4 linked regions of the Oryzias latipes genome follow. The protein of the gene in region 4 interacts with the protein of the main gene of each other region in a pairwise test. Links are inferred from orthologs where the notes say so. Each region holds a gene or a part of one and is shown on either strand. Other genes may lie near its edges. The genes, in order: ezrin, pdgfra, hdac6 and receptor tyrosine-protein kinase erbB-2.

Evidence for each region.
Region 1: the proteins of receptor tyrosine-protein kinase erbB-2 (region 4) and ezrin interact in a protein complementation assay, tested with the Homo sapiens proteins (2 studies listed by BioGRID and IntAct, with this or other methods). The link is inferred for Oryzias latipes from reciprocal best matches to the Homo sapiens genes ERBB2 and EZR.
Region 2: the proteins of receptor tyrosine-protein kinase erbB-2 (region 4) and pdgfra interact in a protein complementation assay, tested with the Homo sapiens proteins (2 studies listed by BioGRID, with this or other methods). The link is inferred for Oryzias latipes from reciprocal best matches to the Homo sapiens genes ERBB2 and PDGFRA.
Region 3: the proteins of receptor tyrosine-protein kinase erbB-2 (region 4) and hdac6 interact in a protein complementation assay, tested with the Homo sapiens proteins (2 studies listed by BioGRID and IntAct, with this or other methods). The link is inferred for Oryzias latipes from reciprocal best matches to the Homo sapiens genes ERBB2 and HDAC6.

The regions. Positions count from the first base shown.
Region 1 is NC_019882.2:6,207,399-6,211,625, forward strand, and holds the start of ezrin, read right to left. Parts: upstream 2,854-4,227; 5' UTR 2,625-2,853; coding exon 2,613-2,624; intron 1-2,612. UniProt on the Homo sapiens protein: Probably involved in connections of major cytoskeletal structures to the plasma membrane. In epithelial cells, required for the formation of microvilli and membrane ruffles on the apical pole. Along with PLEKHG6, required for normal macropinocytosis.
Region 2 is NC_019862.2:528,973-533,308, reverse strand, and holds the start of pdgfra (platelet-derived growth factor receptor alpha), read left to right. Parts: upstream 1-1,497; 5' UTR 1,498-1,691; intron 1,692-3,223; 5' UTR 3,224-3,241; coding exon 3,242-3,299; intron 3,300-3,383; coding exon 3,384-3,650; intron 3,651-3,745; coding exon 3,746-4,006; intron 4,007-4,241; coding exon 4,242-4,336. UniProt on the Homo sapiens protein: Tyrosine-protein kinase that acts as a cell-surface receptor for PDGFA, PDGFB and PDGFC and plays an essential role in the regulation of embryonic development, cell proliferation, survival and chemotaxis.
Region 3 is NC_019865.2:34,325,544-34,329,627, reverse strand, and holds the start of hdac6 (histone deacetylase 6), read left to right. Parts: upstream 1-1,222; 5' UTR 1,223-1,350; intron 1,351-1,439; exon of another isoform or gene 1,440-1,456; intron 1,457-1,623; exon of another isoform or gene 1,624-1,629; 5' UTR 1,630-1,642; coding exon 1,643-1,714; intron 1,715-3,491; coding exon 3,492-3,614; intron 3,615-4,084.
Region 4 is NC_019877.2:7,422,753-7,426,870, reverse strand, and holds the start of receptor tyrosine-protein kinase erbB-2, read left to right. Parts: upstream 1-1,309; 5' UTR 1,310-1,539; coding exon 1,540-1,612; intron 1,613-4,118. UniProt on the Homo sapiens protein: Protein tyrosine kinase that is part of several cell surface receptor complexes, but that apparently needs a coreceptor for ligand binding. Essential component of a neuregulin-receptor complex, although neuregulins do not interact with it alone.

The sequences.
Region 1 (4,227 bases), on a different chromosome or scaffold from region 4:
AAAAGCTCTGTGTGTATTTCTTGACTGTGGTTAACGGTGAAATGCTAGGTTGAACGCTGTGAAAACTAAATTTAATGTCATTAGTTAATAGAACGTCAAGCCGAATGGTTGACATTTCCACCTTACCAAGTCTGGCCCTCTTTGCAAAACGTTTGAACACCCCTATCCTAAACTGACAAACCCTATGACTATATATATGAAAAGTTATAATGACTGAAAACGACAGTTTTAGCCTTAATGGCTGATAGTTTTCATCCATCATAAATCTAATAATTCTGACAGTATAGAGCCATGCGGTGCAAGCGTTTAAACAGATTGGTGATGGGAAGTGGGGTAGGCTTACTCGACGCTAGCAGTTCCGCACACAACTCTGAGGCAGATTTCTAATGAGCAACTGCTGCTCTGCAGAAAATGTCATAGAAAATGACAGTTTTTTTTTTAATGGCTAAAACAGAATAATCAATAAAAGATGACTATCTGGAAGTCAATCATCTTTTAATGATTATGCTGATTTTGGTTCATTATGAAGTCTGGATAAGCTGCGCTACACCTTTGCGTTTTTCATTGATAACCATCCAGCATTCTGCCCTCTGCATAGCTCAAATGCTTTACAAGAACCAGTAACAATGGGAGTCGCCATGGATATCCCAGTAAAGTCACTAGAGCGCAAGAAGGTCATAAAAACAAAGAAGCTGCTGTATGCAAGTTCTACGGATGTAAAATTTGAACACACAGGGTTCAGAGGCATGTGATGATTTTGTAATCATCTCTAGGGGGGGCTCATTTGACCCAGTCATCACATATTAAAAAGAGAAGTACCATTAATAGAATCGCACCGAAAAAGAAAACGCCCATGCTGATGTTGACCACACCTTGTGTGGTTTTTGTCATGAGCCGAGACACAGCACAGAGATCCTAACAGTGTTATGTCATTCAAATCAATCCAATATGAGGCATAATGTTATAAATAGACAAGCTTTACAATAGACACACACAAATACAAACCAAACATCGGAGCTGTAATAGCAAAATACTGTTAGTTTTCATTTTTTAGTTTGCAAAACCAACATTAACTCTTATATTGTGTTCAGATCAAAACTGACTCAAACACAATATAGGAGTGAAGAATGGCCAAGAATAGAGGCTGACCTTTGTTTGAAATATGTCTGCATGCTAGATAAGGGCAGCTGTTGAAGAAGAGGACAAAAGGACGTGGAATGTGGCTGAGTCGTACTGAAGAGGGTACCACACACAAACCTTTCATGGTGGTTCTGCAGGCACCTTTTATTTAGCATCTCTAGTTACAGTTACTGTTGGTTTTATAACTAAATGTTAAACATTTTAGCCTCCAACTTAACTTGACTAATGGAATTAGAATCTATATCAAAACTAATTTTTTTGTAAATCCAACTAAAACCTGTATGTGTTTGGCTTTAAAACATCTCGAACTTTATGTAATTTCAGATTTTACTAAAGACTACCACAACAGTGAAACAGTATTAAAAAGATTCATTTTTCCTGACAGAAAAACATAACAGATCTAATCTAAAAATTATATAAATAAAAAATGCATGTCACAGCTCCTTTGTCCTTATAAACACCCAGTGTTTCTTTCATGCCTAACAATGTTGTTTTGCCATCAGATGAGGATGGTGTCATTTCCACAGCAAGGCTCCTGACAACCCCAATGCCTCTCTAAACACAGCAACGGCAGCCTTTATGGTCCTGACCGCCGCTGTGATGATCACCACATGGACCAGCGTGAAGCACTTCTGCTATTTTTTCATTGCAACTGTAATATTTAAGTCCACCTGTAATGTGCAGGCCCAGACTGTATATTAAATTAATAAACGAGGGTCAGTTCAAGTCACGTCCAAAGAAATCCCCATCATATTTTCCATCTGACACTTAAATGTGAGCACGGAACCAGAAATTTCCAGGCAGGGAGCTGAGGGAAAGACATGTGTGACTGTTCAGAATGCAATGGCCGGGGTGGGGCAAACTGTGAGTCAGGAGGAGCTGAAGGCACAGCCTCCTCAAACAAACATATATGCATATATTTATGACACGATTTTATACAGCAACAAAAAGGGAAAAAGGACATTGCAGTTAAACCGGTGCATCCTCCCATTTAAAAACAACACACTTGGTTGTGATGTGCACCACAGAGGATGACTGATAACAACTGGCCTCCTTTGTAACGTCATATCAAACAAATCCTTTCTGGAGATATTAGGGGAAAGTGATGCTCCCCCAGGCTGAAGTTGGATGAATGGGATTCAACTTTGACCCCCCCAAATTTCCTTTTTTTTAATACATATTTCAATAATATTCATATGAATTCCTGAGAACATTAAGTTACCAAAGGGAAACAACAGTTACCGCCTCCCTCCTCAATCTAAAAGAAAAACCCTCAGTGAGGCAGCATCAGTCTGACACCAGCATCTCCTTTAACAGATTTATGAGGTTTTTGTGCGTAAAAATGGAATGACGTCTCAATTAGGGTGACCTCAAAGCGGCTACGCGCGCCGGCTTTACGAACGCCACCTGTGCGCTCTCCGCAACTTTTCTCCTCCTAAAGCAGGAATTCCTCAAACAGCAGAGTGACTTACCGCTTTCGGCATGTTGCTGCTCTTCTCCCGGGATAAACAGCAGGAATTGGGTTGATCGAAAGAGTCCTCTAAAAGGAAATAAAATAAATAAAGCTTTGCTCCTTGTGACAGCGCCTCTCGCTGCGTCTGTAAATGAGATCAGAGAAAAGCAGAGAAACGAGTTTTCAACTTTTCACTCTGACTTAAAGGCTGAGGACGCAGGCCACTCCTGCGGACGACAGTCACCGGGATGAATCACCTCCAACAGCCGGCAAGCTGACATGCGCGCTGCTGCCTTCAAAATAAAAGCATGCAACACAAAAGAAAGCAACCTTCTCCAATCACGCCCATATTTTTGTTTGGTTTTTTATCATCGTGGTATTTCTTCAATCAAGCATTATTTTTTGTTGTTTTGATTGTTTGTTAACAATGGATGAGCCTATTAGAGGGTGCTAGAAGGAGTTCTATATTCACATCACAAATAGTAAGAAAAAAAGAAGAATTAAAATGCAGGTAAATTTAAAACAAGTTGAATTTAAAATACTTTATTTTAAACTGTTTTAATTTTATTTATTATATCAATATTTTCTATTTATCAAAATTGAATAATCAATACTATAATCTATTTCTGCGCATTGATATTAGTAGGAATTCAATCTCTGTTTTTGGCTGTCTAAATATGTTTTTTACATTTCTCTGCAATAAATAGAAATATATTTAAAAGACCTTTTTGTTGAAAATTTTCCTTTTTTAATATTGTACTTAATACAGATTCTAGTTCCATTTCATAACTGATGTTTCTATATTACATTTCTGAAACAGTTCCAGACACTTTTGTATTTACATAATGTTTTTATAATGAAGGTTTCTTTTCACCCACTTTGTTTTACCTTTGTTAAATTGTTTACTGTTCACCTGGACAAGAAGAGCCAAAATAGCCTCACCATAGAACACTGAGGTCCTTTAGAGTTAGCAGGCCTCTCCTATAAGGTCATTCAATGACTCTGTGGTAGCCTCTGCAATCCTTCACACTCTGGTCTGCTGGGGAGCAAGCAGCACAGACCGGGACAGGAAGAAACAGAAAAAGGTGGTCAGGAGAGCCAGTTCTGTCCTGGGCTCCCCACTGGACTCTTTTGAGGTGGTAAGTGAGAGGAGGATCTTGGCAAAACTGAGATTGATCATGGACAACACCTCTCACCCACCACATCAGACAGTATAGAGGCGCTGAGCAGCTTCTTCAGCAGCAGAGTGTTACACGCACAATATAAGAAGGGGCGTATAAAAGAAGGTCCTTCATTCAACCACTGTTAGACCGTACAACCTAGTCTAACAACAGATTCAATATTGGTTTATTCCTGACAGAAACATTCAATGCTCTACTGCTTTTCTAGTTCTGTTGTTTTCTTTTTCTCCGGCAATGCAAGTATTAAGTATATAATGAGAGTTTTTGAAGAGTTTTATAATTTTATTTGATCTTTTTATGTTGTTTTAACCATACTTTTAATTGTTTTGCACATTTTACTTTTCTTTTGCCTGATCTCCAGAGCTGCTGTAACAGATGAATGTCCCCACGGCTGGATCAATAAAGTTTAACTTATCTTATCTTAGTGGGTTTTTAATTGCTTATATTTGCTGT
Region 2 (4,336 bases), on a different chromosome or scaffold from region 4:
TAAAGAGACAGACAGACAGACAGACAGACAGACAGACAGACAGACAGACAGACAGACAGACAGACAGACAGACAGACAGACAGACAGATAGATAGATAGATAGATAGATAGATAGATAGATAGATAGATAGATAGATAGATAGATAGATAGATAGATAGATAGATAGATAGATAGATAGATAGATAGATAGATAGATAGATAGATAGATAGATAGATAGATAGATAGATTAAAATTTAAATATACATTATGAATTAAATCATTTGGGACTAAAAAGGTTTTTGATACTATCGTGGCTCATCACAATGGTTGAGCTAGTTTTTGAAACCCCATACAAAAAAATGTGAAGTAGGTTACATGATTGTTTTTTTTAAATACATATATACTGTGTCAGAAATACCTTTTGACATTCCTCCTCAAAGCCCCTGGTGGTCAGTCACAGGAAGGACAAATGGGATTAAACAAGAAACTCTTCCGGTCCAGAAACAATAAAACAAAATATATGATGTCATTATTTTATTATCCTGGGTTACAGAGAAGTAAATTCTTGTTTTCAGTGAAAGTTGACATTCCCCTTTATCAGTAAAAACACAATTATTTGTAAAGGTTTTACCTGCATGGCTGTATTTAGTTTTTTCTCAGAAAACCCATCAGAAGGTGGAGCTTCAGCCCAGTTTGAGGTAAATTTGCTCTTCTGAGGCTGAAGTTCTTTGTTTGGAGAACAAGGACACAGTTCTTCTAACATGTGGAAGTGATTCCACCAAGAGGCTGCATACGCGGAGCGGAGGAGGGGGTGGGGAGTGGGCCCCGGGCCCTTGCCTCTACCTTTAGGTTTTTCTGGTATTTCTGTCCTGTACCCAGTTGGTCAATGGGATCCATTGTTCCCGCCCAAGAGTTTGGAGACTCGCACCAACTTAAGCGGTTCTGCTCATAGACTTGGTTATCTGGCATGCAACCAATTTTGTTTTCTGGTGATGAAAACGATGTTTGAACGACCCTGATGTTTGAAGTCTCTTTTCTGTTGTCAGATGTGTGGTGGATGTGTGCCGCGCTCCAGGACTGCGCGTAAATATGATGGTGTTGGAGCGCCCCCTGCTCCTCTGGGCTGCAGTGCCTGATTCCAGCTCCACACACTGGATCCGTTCACTTAAAAAATCTGATTCTACATGAAAAATAAAAGCTATAATTGCTGTACCCGTGCGTTTCGAGAAACAAATCTCATCTTTTGCATGCGCAATAAAGGATCATAGATTTTTTAAACAACAGCCACGTTGGACTTAACCCAAATAAAGGCTTTTAAAAGTTTTTAAATCAAGAAATCAGTGAAATCTGAGTAAACATTTCATGATCAAGACTCTTATTCTCACTTTGAAACTGGGTTCAGCGCTTCACCAGAAGGGGGGGGGGTGTATTTCCTGAGCGTTATTTACTTTAAGCAAGATGCTTTGCTTTTTCTGCAGGGGCTGGAGGGGGAGGACTGTAACGTTGAATCAGTTACAGGTCGCCGTGGCTGCAGCGCAGTTGTGAAGGCGGTCGCTGATGCGGGCGGAGGGTCGCGCAGACAGACGCTCGACAGCGCATGATCTCCAAGGATTAACGCCGCTGCAAAGGAGCCTTTTTTTGCGCCTTTTTACTCGCCTATTCATTCTGGATATCATCGCACTAAAGCAATAGAGAGGGGATTAGTAAAAGGTAACTGAGAGCTCTATTGAAGTAGTTTCATAACTTATTTAAAAATCATTTTAATCTATTGTAGTAGGTTTTTGTTTGTTTCGTTGTTGTTGGTGGTTTTTTTTTAGTTTTGCTACAATCTTATCTAATTACCGCAGTATCCTTTTTCTGTAAACCTACAAAAAGTTTATCAAACTTTATTGGTGAATCTGTGGAGCCTCCAGACCTTGTAAGTTGTCATAACTTCATTAAGCGATGATTCGTAAAGGTTTTCGCCGGTTGTCTGAAGTCCTCTCTCCGGTCCCCCATTTGGCTGAGCGGGAGACGTGGCTCACGCTGTTGGATAAAGGCGCTCAGTTCTCGCCTCACAGCTGGATGTTTCACCTCCAAGACAGAAGGCTCTGCTGCGGGGTGCTGCTTGTGTTTAATTGGGAACACATTGGAGTGCTTACGCAGCGCACTATCTTCTCCTCTGGTGGAATTTTGTTGGGAATTCAAGCGGAAAATCTTTGGAGTGAAACTTGATGGACATCCAAAAGAGAAATGAAACTACAACAAAACGGAAAAAGAGGAGCTGGGGTTTTTTTGGTGGTGGATCAGTGGGGGGTTACTACATTCTCCACCTCCCAAACCCCACTGCGACACCAAGGACTTCAGCAGCTAAGGAAAACAGATCTCTGCATCTTCAGCGATGCACCTTTCTCGCAGCCCCCACTGAAGCTGAAGCAGATCATCTTCTGTCAGCTGCTGCACAGATGGCCCCCAGCTCAGCACAGGCTGCCTCATTCTGATTCTGTGCATTTGCCGCTTGCTCGGAGAGCAGGGAGCTCAGCATGACAGACGCGCAGGGCACGCGCGGAGCTGGAGCGCCTCTGCAGTCTGTTGACGCTCACGAGATCTCCGCTAAGGACAAAAAGCGCAAACCTAATGTGCATTTCGTCAACTGATTCCCACGCATATATACTTTGTGTGCAGAGGGTGCGCTAATTATAGAGTCAACAAACCCAGACTCTTAATGGACTGTTCGAGCTTTTTGTGCCGAGCCTCAGTCGGAGGAGAACCGCAGCAACTACAAGAAGAAGTTAGAGGACACTGATGAAAGACTCCCAGAACAATGTCCCAAAACAAAAAGTCACAGAAGTGATTCAAAGTACGGATTAGACACAGAGAGCTGCGGTTTAAAGTCAGACAGAACCACAGTGTCCACAGTTCTGTGTTTTTCTCCATCAATTCGCACTGAAGGCGGTCTATCCTCAAATGATGGACTGTGTCGCCCTCTACCGGAGCATTTGTGCTCTGCACCATCCTCAAATCACTAGATTATTTTAGACTTGGTTGATCTCACCTCGAAAGACTCCTTAAACTTTTTGACTACGGTAAAGCATAACGTGGGGAGCATCGACATTCTGACCCCCCCCCCCCCCCCCACACACACACACATACACGCCCCCTTTTGTTGAAGGAACAAAACCTTAATCAAACTGGCAACTAATGGAGAATTTGCAAAAACATTCTAAATGGTGTGTTGTTTTCTCTCTGTTCTGTCTTCACAGGCCTGAGCATCCATAACCATGGGTGGGGTGAGAACATTTGCTGTGTTTAAGAAATTCCTGGTGCTGCTGGTTCTAGGTAAGTAGGTATTTGAGACTGCAATGAATTTTACAACTTTTTCCCCCCATGAATCTCTGTAATGGTTGCAAATCTGTCCCTCAGGCACCTCTGCAGTTGCAAGACCAACCATCACCCCAAACCTAAAGGAACTTTTTCTACAACCTCACTCTTTCCTCAACTTGACCTGCTTTGGGGAGAGTAAAAAAGTCTCCTGGGTCAAGCCCCTGCCAGAAAACTCCATAGTCATTACAGGGAACAACTCAGCCACTCTGCTCATTTCCAGAGTCACTGTGGGGAACACAGGCTTTTATGTGTGCAATTATGAAGAGCAGCAAGATAGTGAAGTTGACATTTATGTCTTTGTTACAGGTCTGTTTCATTTTATATTTGCAAGGACAAAACACAGAAGTGAACACATTCCTTAACAAGAAAGCCATGAAAAGAGTATTGTGTGTTTCTTGCAGATCCCAGCAACCTGTTTGTCCCCGAGTCTCCAGAAAACATTCATCTCATCCTCTCCCAACACATGGTGGAAATCCCGTGCCGTGTATCTCACTCGAACGCTCACGTCATCCTGAGGAGGGTGCCCAGTGGAGAGCCGATTTCCTCTCCCTACGATGCAAAGATAGGCTTTTTTGGGATTGATGTTCCTGGGCAGTACCAGTGTGAAAGTTCTGTCAATGGCCACACTGTAAAGAGTGACATTTACATCGTGACCCATGAAGGTGAGCAGATATTCTTGTTGCATAGTTCATTTAAAAACACCAAAGAAACAATTTCAACGCACTCCTTTTTTGGGTTTTGTGGGAGCTTCATGTTGCATGTGTATGTGGAGGTGATTACCTCACACAAAAGTTTATTTCTGCCGGTGTCTGTGAGTGACGGTGACCTATATCAGAAATGAGGAAACATGTTTTTTGCCTGTGAGATGGTAGTGCTTATGTCTGCTCTTATTTGCAGACAGTTGCAGAAACTTCACACTGGAAGTTACAGCCACTGAGAGGACAGTGAGAGCTGGCCAGCCTCTCAATATCACATGCATGGCCCTGCCTGGC
Region 3 (4,084 bases), on a different chromosome or scaffold from region 4:
GATGCTTTTCAACCATAACTTCTCCCCTCACAACACTGTTTTATGGAACAACAGATTTATAACTGTAAACAAGAAATCCTTGTTTATGTCTGAATGGTATGGTAATGGTGTGTATTTTGTCCATGACTTGATGCGTACTGATGGAAGGCTGTTATCATACTATGAATTTGTAACCAAATACAAGATTAAGGATTCTAGTAACTGTTATAACAAAGTCTGTAAAGCAATTCCCATACCTCTACTTAATCTCATTCAAAACATACTACAATACAATGAAATCAAACCACAACTTTCGGTGCTGAAAATTAATAATATTCCCCTAAAAGATAAAAAATGCAACAATAAATTAATAACTCTAACCTTTAAGCAATTAATTTTCTGCAACTTTAGTATAAACAATAGATGCGATTTAGAAACCACCCAAATGAACAAATCTTTTTCTTTATACATAAAGTACCCACTTCCTCCTAAAATGAAAGAAACGCATTTTAAAATAATATCTAAAATTTACCCTGTTGGAGATTTTTTACATAAAAGATTCAAATTTGAATCGGAACCATGCATATTCTGTTCATCTGAAACTGAAACATTAGAACATCTGTTTTACAGTTGCAACCAGGTTAAAATATTTTGGTCTGATATACACAATTGGTTGTCAATCAAAATTTTAAATATTCCCTTTTTTTCCTTATATGATGTTCTTTTCTATATGGAAAATCTGGACCCGGGAATTTCTGATGTCATTAATGTTGTTATTATTTTATGCAAACATTTCATTCATTTGTGTAAATGGAAAAATACATGCCCTCTATTTAGTATTTTTTTGAATTATTTTTCTGATTATTATAAGTGTCTTAAATGCATTCCTAACAAAAACAAGAAAACTACAGTCATTTATCAGAATATATCAAAAGTATTATTATTTTGAATTGTTTTGGCCTTGCCTTTGCCTATTATTTCATTTTTGTTTCTTTTTCTTTCTATATGTGCATTTATAACGTTTGTTCACCCTAATTTGGTTTGTATATGAGCATCTATAAAAAAAAAAAAAAAAAAAAGGCACACACATTGTTAAAAATATTACTATTTTTCGTTTTTTTCAGTCTTATATGTGTGTTTGATATTAACAATTGTTTATTGAGCAAGTAAGTGACTGTGAATGTCTGTAAATTGAAAAATGTACAATAAAGTTTGTTTAAAAAAAAAAAACCAGGCGATCTGCGGGCGCCTTCGTTGTGGCGTCATCTGAGGGCGACAGTGCGCGTCCTGGCGCTTTGATAGACTAAACAAACAAGAGCGTGCAGATCCCGCAACCAACCAGTTCGATTCGGACATCCTCAGTTCGCTCTGGTAGGAAGTGTTGTAGTAGAACAGATCCACAGGAAAAGAGGTCCGGTTCTGCCCCCCCCCCCCCCCCCCCCCCCCCCCCCCCCCCTGATTCAGTGGTTAGCTTCAGGTATCGTGGTTTTGGTTTATTTATGTTACAGTCAGAAAAACGTTATCAAACCTGGAGAAAATGACGGTGCAGATTTAGTTTTTTCTGAAATGTGTTGGATCTGTAAAACTGTCATAACTGAATGGCCCTGACAGACAGAGAACTGCGCTGATCTACACTCTGCTGCTCTCCAGGTGACAACCAGCCATGCAGCCTGGGTCAGAACCTCCACGATCTGGATCCAAGTCGGTCAGAAGGTCTCCACGTCTGTCATCGCAGGTCAGTAACACTCAAAACTACGTCCAGATCGTAATGGAGGTTGATCTGACCTCAGGTGATCTGCTAATAAAGATGCTTACAACATTTTGTTTAGATCTGCCTTCTCTGGTGTTTGCAGACATTTCCAGGTTACTTTTGCTTTTTTAAGGTGTCTTCAGGGGTTTCCAGGCATTTGCAGGCTTTTCAGGGCATCATTCACAATTATTTAAATCTCACTCAATTTATCGATAGTCCTACCCGTCCTAATATTAAGTGCCCCTCTAGATCATCCTTGATTGATCTCATTTTGACAAATGCCCCACACAAGTACACTAATAGTTCATTCATTCATCTTCTTGACCGTTTTTTCCCTTTCGGGGTCACGGGGTTGCCGGAGCCTATCCCGGCCACTTGGGCGTAGGCAAGGGATACCCTGGACTGGTCGCCAGTCTGTCGCAGGGTGGAATATCCTCAATCACACATCCATCCACTCTCACACTCACACCTATGGACAATTTAGAGTTGCCAATCAACCTATGAAGCATGTTTTTGGACAGTGGGAGGAAGCCGGAGATCCCGGAGAGAACCCACGCATGCACGGGGAGAACATGCAAACTCCACACAGAAAGGTCCCCCATTGATGTTGTGTTTTTCATGTCCCCCAGCCGGGACTTGAACCGGGGGCCTTCTTGCTGTGAGGCAAGAGCGCTAACCACTGCACCACCGTGCAGCCCCTACACTAATAGTTATTTTTGCAAATGACCTAAGGGATATTATGCTTTTCTCGCCATCAGAAATCCCTTAAAACTTAATCTCATATCCTGGTAAAAGAAATAAAAAAGCTAAATAAGCAAACTTTTCCACCACCATCTGCAGACATTTTCATGTGTCTTCAGATGTTTTCATGTGTCTGCAGGTGTTTTTATGTGTCTGCAGGTGTTTTCATGTGTCTGCAGGTGTTTTTATGTGTCTGCAGGTGTTTTCATGTGTCTGCAGGTGTTTTTATGTGTCTGCAGGTGTTTTCATGTGTCTGCAGGTGTTTTTATGTGTCTGCAGGTGTTTTCATGTGTCTGCAGGTGTTTTTATGTGTCTGCAGGTGTTTTCATGTGTCTGCAGGTGTTTTCATGTGTCTGCAGGTGTTTTCTTTAGTATTTACTGGTGTTATGTGTCTCTAGGTTTTTCCAAGTTCTTGTAGGTCTTTTTTAGTCCACATGTCTTTTTAGGCTTATGTGAGTGTTTTTAAGTGTCTTCAGAGTTCTTAAGTATTTGCATGTGTTTTTCTTACTGTACAGGTGTTTCTACATCTTAAAGTGTTTTAGTTGTCTGCAGGTTTCTCTGTAGTTTTTTGTTTATTGACACATAAAAGTGTGGGCGTGGTATAGAGGTAGAGGGGTCATGCATGACCTTAAACATTTGAACACATTTGCAGCTTGTCAACCATTCTTAGTGTTGGATTTGCCAATATCCTTCTCGAGGGTTCAGGGTTCAGCACAAACCGCAAAAGTTAGACGGGGGTGGGAGGCGGGGTGTTAAGGACAAACATATCATTTAAACAGTCAGGTGAGTGAGACCGTGCAGCTATCTTTGATTAGCTATACCTTGCATTTGTGCAATTTGTGTTTGTGTTTATGATGTTTTAACATTTTTGTGTGGTTTGCGTTAGGTTTGTGCTTACAGGTTCATTTTTTTATGCTTGCCACCCTGACTGTACGAAGGAAAGTCAATCAACTACCCAAGGTGGATTTGGATCCGCCACATACTAAACGTTCACATCTTCTGTCCTCCCTTTTTTCTTCAGGACAGCAAAGATGGAATAGAGGAAAGAAGAAGAGGAAGCAATCTGCAAGAAGTGAAGAGGAGAGGAAGAATTGAGAGAAGCTATCAGAAGGACGAGGAGCTAAGTAGTATCATGGGGGCACTGGTGAGACTTCAGTTTGACTTTATTCCGTAGTTAGTAGAAACGGCTAGGCTTTGCTTGACCGAAGTGGTTTGTTTTTAGTTACTCGTTTATTTTGTTTTTTCAGGGTCCATAATGATTATTAGTAGTCAAGAAAGCTGGTAACTGATATTTGGAGCCAATATTTAATAGTAGTAAAATTTCAAATATTGGCATCCAAACTTAGAATAATACAAACACCAACAATTAACTTGTTGTTTTTTTTATACAGAAAAAAAGCAAATAAAAAGCTCCTAGAAGTTCAGGGAGTAAGGGGCTCAGCAGCATCTTTTTGAAGTAGTAAAACATATTAAATAAACAGTTCCTTAAAGTTTTTATAGTAAATAAAGCAAAGCTTCAACATAAATAAAATGACTTATCTTTGTAAAAAGTTTTAACCTAAAAAAAGGGGGGGGCACTGTAGCATGTCTTATAAATGTAAATAAATAAAATGG
Region 4 (4,118 bases):
AGTCTTTAGTTTTTAATATTTTATGATTCTGGTCTTTAGGATGATTCTATAGAGGGGTAGTTGGACTGTTATAGCTGTTAAAATGTGATATATTTGGGGGAAAGGTGTGCAAACATACCCACTTTAAAGATTTAAAACCCTTATTTTGGCAATACCTTGTCATTTAAATGCAATATTTCCTATTACCAGTGAAATATACATAAACAATTTGTCTTAAAAGGTTATTACATCACAATTTATTTTAAGAAATTTTACCAAAACAAGTTCTTCTAGTTCCAATGTCAAATTTGTTTTCCCTTATAACAAGAAAAGAACTTCTACTTTTCTGTATTTTCAACTTGTTTAGAGATACATTTTTTTCTTCCATTGCTTGCCCACTGAAGATTTCTTTAAATTTGTTCCAGAAGTCATTATGAAAGTTTAGCCACTCTAGTGAATCAGTAAATGGTGAGATACAGAGATGTATGAGTCTATGCACTTGGGGAAAGTTTGGAAATAGAGCAGGAAAATTGTATTGTGTGCGTGTCTGTGTGTAAATACATATATGTGGGGGGGTTTTTTGGACAAAGCACAAGAAATGTTAGCCCCCAATAGACTGAAAACAAAAAGGATAACAAGCCTGAGAACATCTCACAGGATCAAGCATCTCCTTGAGATGCTACTGCTAAATCCTCCATAAACAACAATAATTACAACATAATCCAACATCTTGAAGTTTGTTGACAAAGACAGTCTGATCTAATTTTTTGGTATTTCTTGTATCATGGAAAATTTGGAGAAAAAAAAGTCCTGAAATATTGACTATTTCCCATATGTTATGATTTAAATTCAAATAAATTTAAAAATCTGCATTTGATACCTTCTGGGATTCTGGGGTGCCAGGAAGATCTACCATTGAAAATGCAAGGTGCCAAGTTGGTGAAGGTAGTAGTATTATGGTGTGGAAGTTTTTATTTTATTTTGTTGTTCCAACAAAAATGATTTTTAAACACTTCAGCACATTTTTATTTTAGAGAACTTTAAGTTCTTTTGGCAGTGTTCTAACATGATGCTCAAAGCTACAGCCTCATAAAGATGAGCGTTTAGAACACTTTTCAGATACATTTCAGTTGGAAAAAAAACATGTTTGAGTAGGATACATAAATTTGACCAATAAATAAATAAACATATATATATTTGTATGACAGAAGGAATCCATGCATTACAGTCTTTAATGTCACATTGATAAGCGTGTAGTGAGTTTGAGGTCTGCAGACAGAAATCTGTGATTGTGGGCGGAGTCAGAGTGCCACTCCTCGCGCAGGCCTTCACGGGAGCGCGCTTGTCACACTGTTACTACCAACAGTCCGAGTTCGGAAGTCTCCGTGGATAGGAAGAAGGGCAGCAATTTCACTAAGGGAGTCGAGATTAAAGCTGCTATTATTTTAAGGTCTAATATTTTAAGAAGGAAAAGACCTATTGTGTTTTTTTTGTCGGCTACAACGAATATTAGACAGACCTAACTCTGGAATATGGACTAAACGCGCCGGGTGCGAGCAGATGGAAGCCGCGAGAAGTTTGGTGTTTATCGGAGCCGTTCTGCTCGGAGTGCCGGGCGTTTTGGGCGGAGAAGGTGGGTGACTTTTGTCGTCTTTTGCGCTCTCACGGTTTGGGAACGCGGACATACTAGACCCCGTTCGAGTTGTGTTCGTGTGGACGTGAAGTGTGAAGTCGACGCGGGTTCCTGCATTCCTCGTACGTGATTTCGTCCTCCCTGCGGAGATTCATGGGAGTTATGGAGCGCAGATAAGGACAAAATTCCCACCTGTCAAAAAGTAGCTTCGCTAAAAGCTTTCAGTTTGAATTTCAATTACAAACTTACACTAAATTGAATAAAGAGAGTTAAAGCCACATAGTTGGGCAATAAACTCGAGAACTGGTGTTGAGATGCAGCAGAGCAGTGTTGGTAAACAACAAACAAACAAACAAACAAAAGCTCTGTGTGCAGAAGATCATCATGACTATGTCAATTATTCACTTCTGGCTCCTAAGGGGACATTGTCTGATAGAGGGCCACTTATCACACTTGGAGCTTGGAGTGCATGCCAGTAAAGTAAGAGCTAACTAACTGAAAGTGCAAATAAGAGCAAATTTGCAAAATGCAAATCAAGATTTCTTTTGTTTAAAGCCAAACCTGAGGAGTTTTTGGATTTCTTCATGTTGCAGAAAGTAGCACCGCTCTAAACTATTTGTTTCATTGTTTTTCACATTTCATATACCAATTATATAAAGTCGAAGAAAAGGAGTCAGATTTGAAAAACTCCAATATCATTTTTTATTTCTGCAAGAAAACCACAGTTTTCATGATTATTATTATGAACTAGTTTAATATCTGTTCTAGGAGGATTTAGCAATATCAATAAACATGTAAAACCTTTGCACAGACTGAGACTATGTGCAGACTTTATTAAATTGCCAGTTTTTGGGGTTAAAAACAACAAAAAGAGCCATGAATTTTTTTTTTTGGACTTTGATTACCAATTTCCAGCTCAATTAAGTTGAAAGACGAAATCCTTAGAGCACAAACAATACTCCTGTTTTATTAGCTGCCCCCGAAGCACTACCACTAATCGGACACACGCAGGAACAAAGCCAGTAGTCACAGGTGAAGTCATTTCTGAACGCGACAGCATTGTTGGGGGGAACAGGTTGGTGCACTTTAGTCTGCAGTGTTGATCTCTGAAGCATCGGACCTGTGCCGGAGTGCTCTGACTGGTTCCCAGAGTTAAGCAACATGTTATGCCCAAGTGTTGACTTCCAGCCTTCTTACTTTCATTTGTTATGTCACTCACACGTGTGCACAGCCCCTCTATGCAGGATCCTTGGTGTGAGGCGATTGCCTCAGTGGACGCACAGTTCACGCCCTTGTCATATTTTAGCGCACCTCAAGGCAAAGTCTATTTGAATTGACGCTAGTTGCAGGTTAACTCTGCCCGTCTAGACTGTTAGTGACCTGACCCACTCTGACTGAGATCAGGATGGTCGTTCTCTAAAAAGGCTCCGCTCACCCTCATGTTTTTCAGAGGAACGTCCGTTTTTTGGCAATAAAAAACTTTTAATTCAACCAATCAAGCATCTTATTGTTTTAATATTATTTTGCATCTTAACCTGGGCATTTAACACTAAGACACTATCATTTTTTTCATGTAAACCTTTTAAAGGCTGTGTTTGAAGATCAATTTGTTTCAATTAAAAAGACAATTCAAAAATATGAAATTCCTCGATTTAATTCTTTTTATAAGAATGTATCACAAATTATCTGGAAAAATGTATCAAATTTATTCGTTTCTATTGTGAGATTTCACAATATTATGATCAAAGGTTTTACTTTTGGTCACTTCATCACTAAACAACTTATTTTAAAACAAAAATTTGACCAGTAAAATGACATTTAATCAATTGTAATGAATCCTATCAAAATTTAGAATTTCTTATCAAAGACTTTACCAATAATCACACTAAAGTTCTCACTTCAGCTCAGGTTATATCTAAAATGCTTTTTTACTTGGAGGGAGATTTGTCTATATTATATGTTGTCATTATTTGTATAAAATGCTCAAATTGCCCTTACCCTACATAAAATGTTTGCATGTCAGTGTTATTTTATTGCATGTATGCAAAATGTGCGTGTGTGTGTTTTTTTTTTAAAGATTTTGTGCATGAATGGTTTCCCATAAGCTCAACTCTCATGTTCAGACCCGGCATTGGAGCAGCTAAATTTAAAAAGAGGACTGTGATGCGTTCACTAATAATAGTCAGTGGTGTGGATGCTTCATAAATATCTTGAAGGCTTGAAGCTCTTGGGTCTCTCCTTGTTGTCTTCATATAGATCCAAAGGTTAAAAAATATCATATTTATATGACTTTGATGCACATTTTTATGCCTTCAGTTTCCCAAAATATTGTCGGTCTGTAGGAATTTATTTGTTCTTTTGACCTGGAACTGAATTTCTATGATACACAGTACTCAGAAATCTGTCAAATTGTTTTAGCTCAATGTTGGTAAACTACATTGACTGTAGGTCTGCATGATATGAGGAAAACTTGCAATATTAGTATTCAATATTGTGATGACGATAT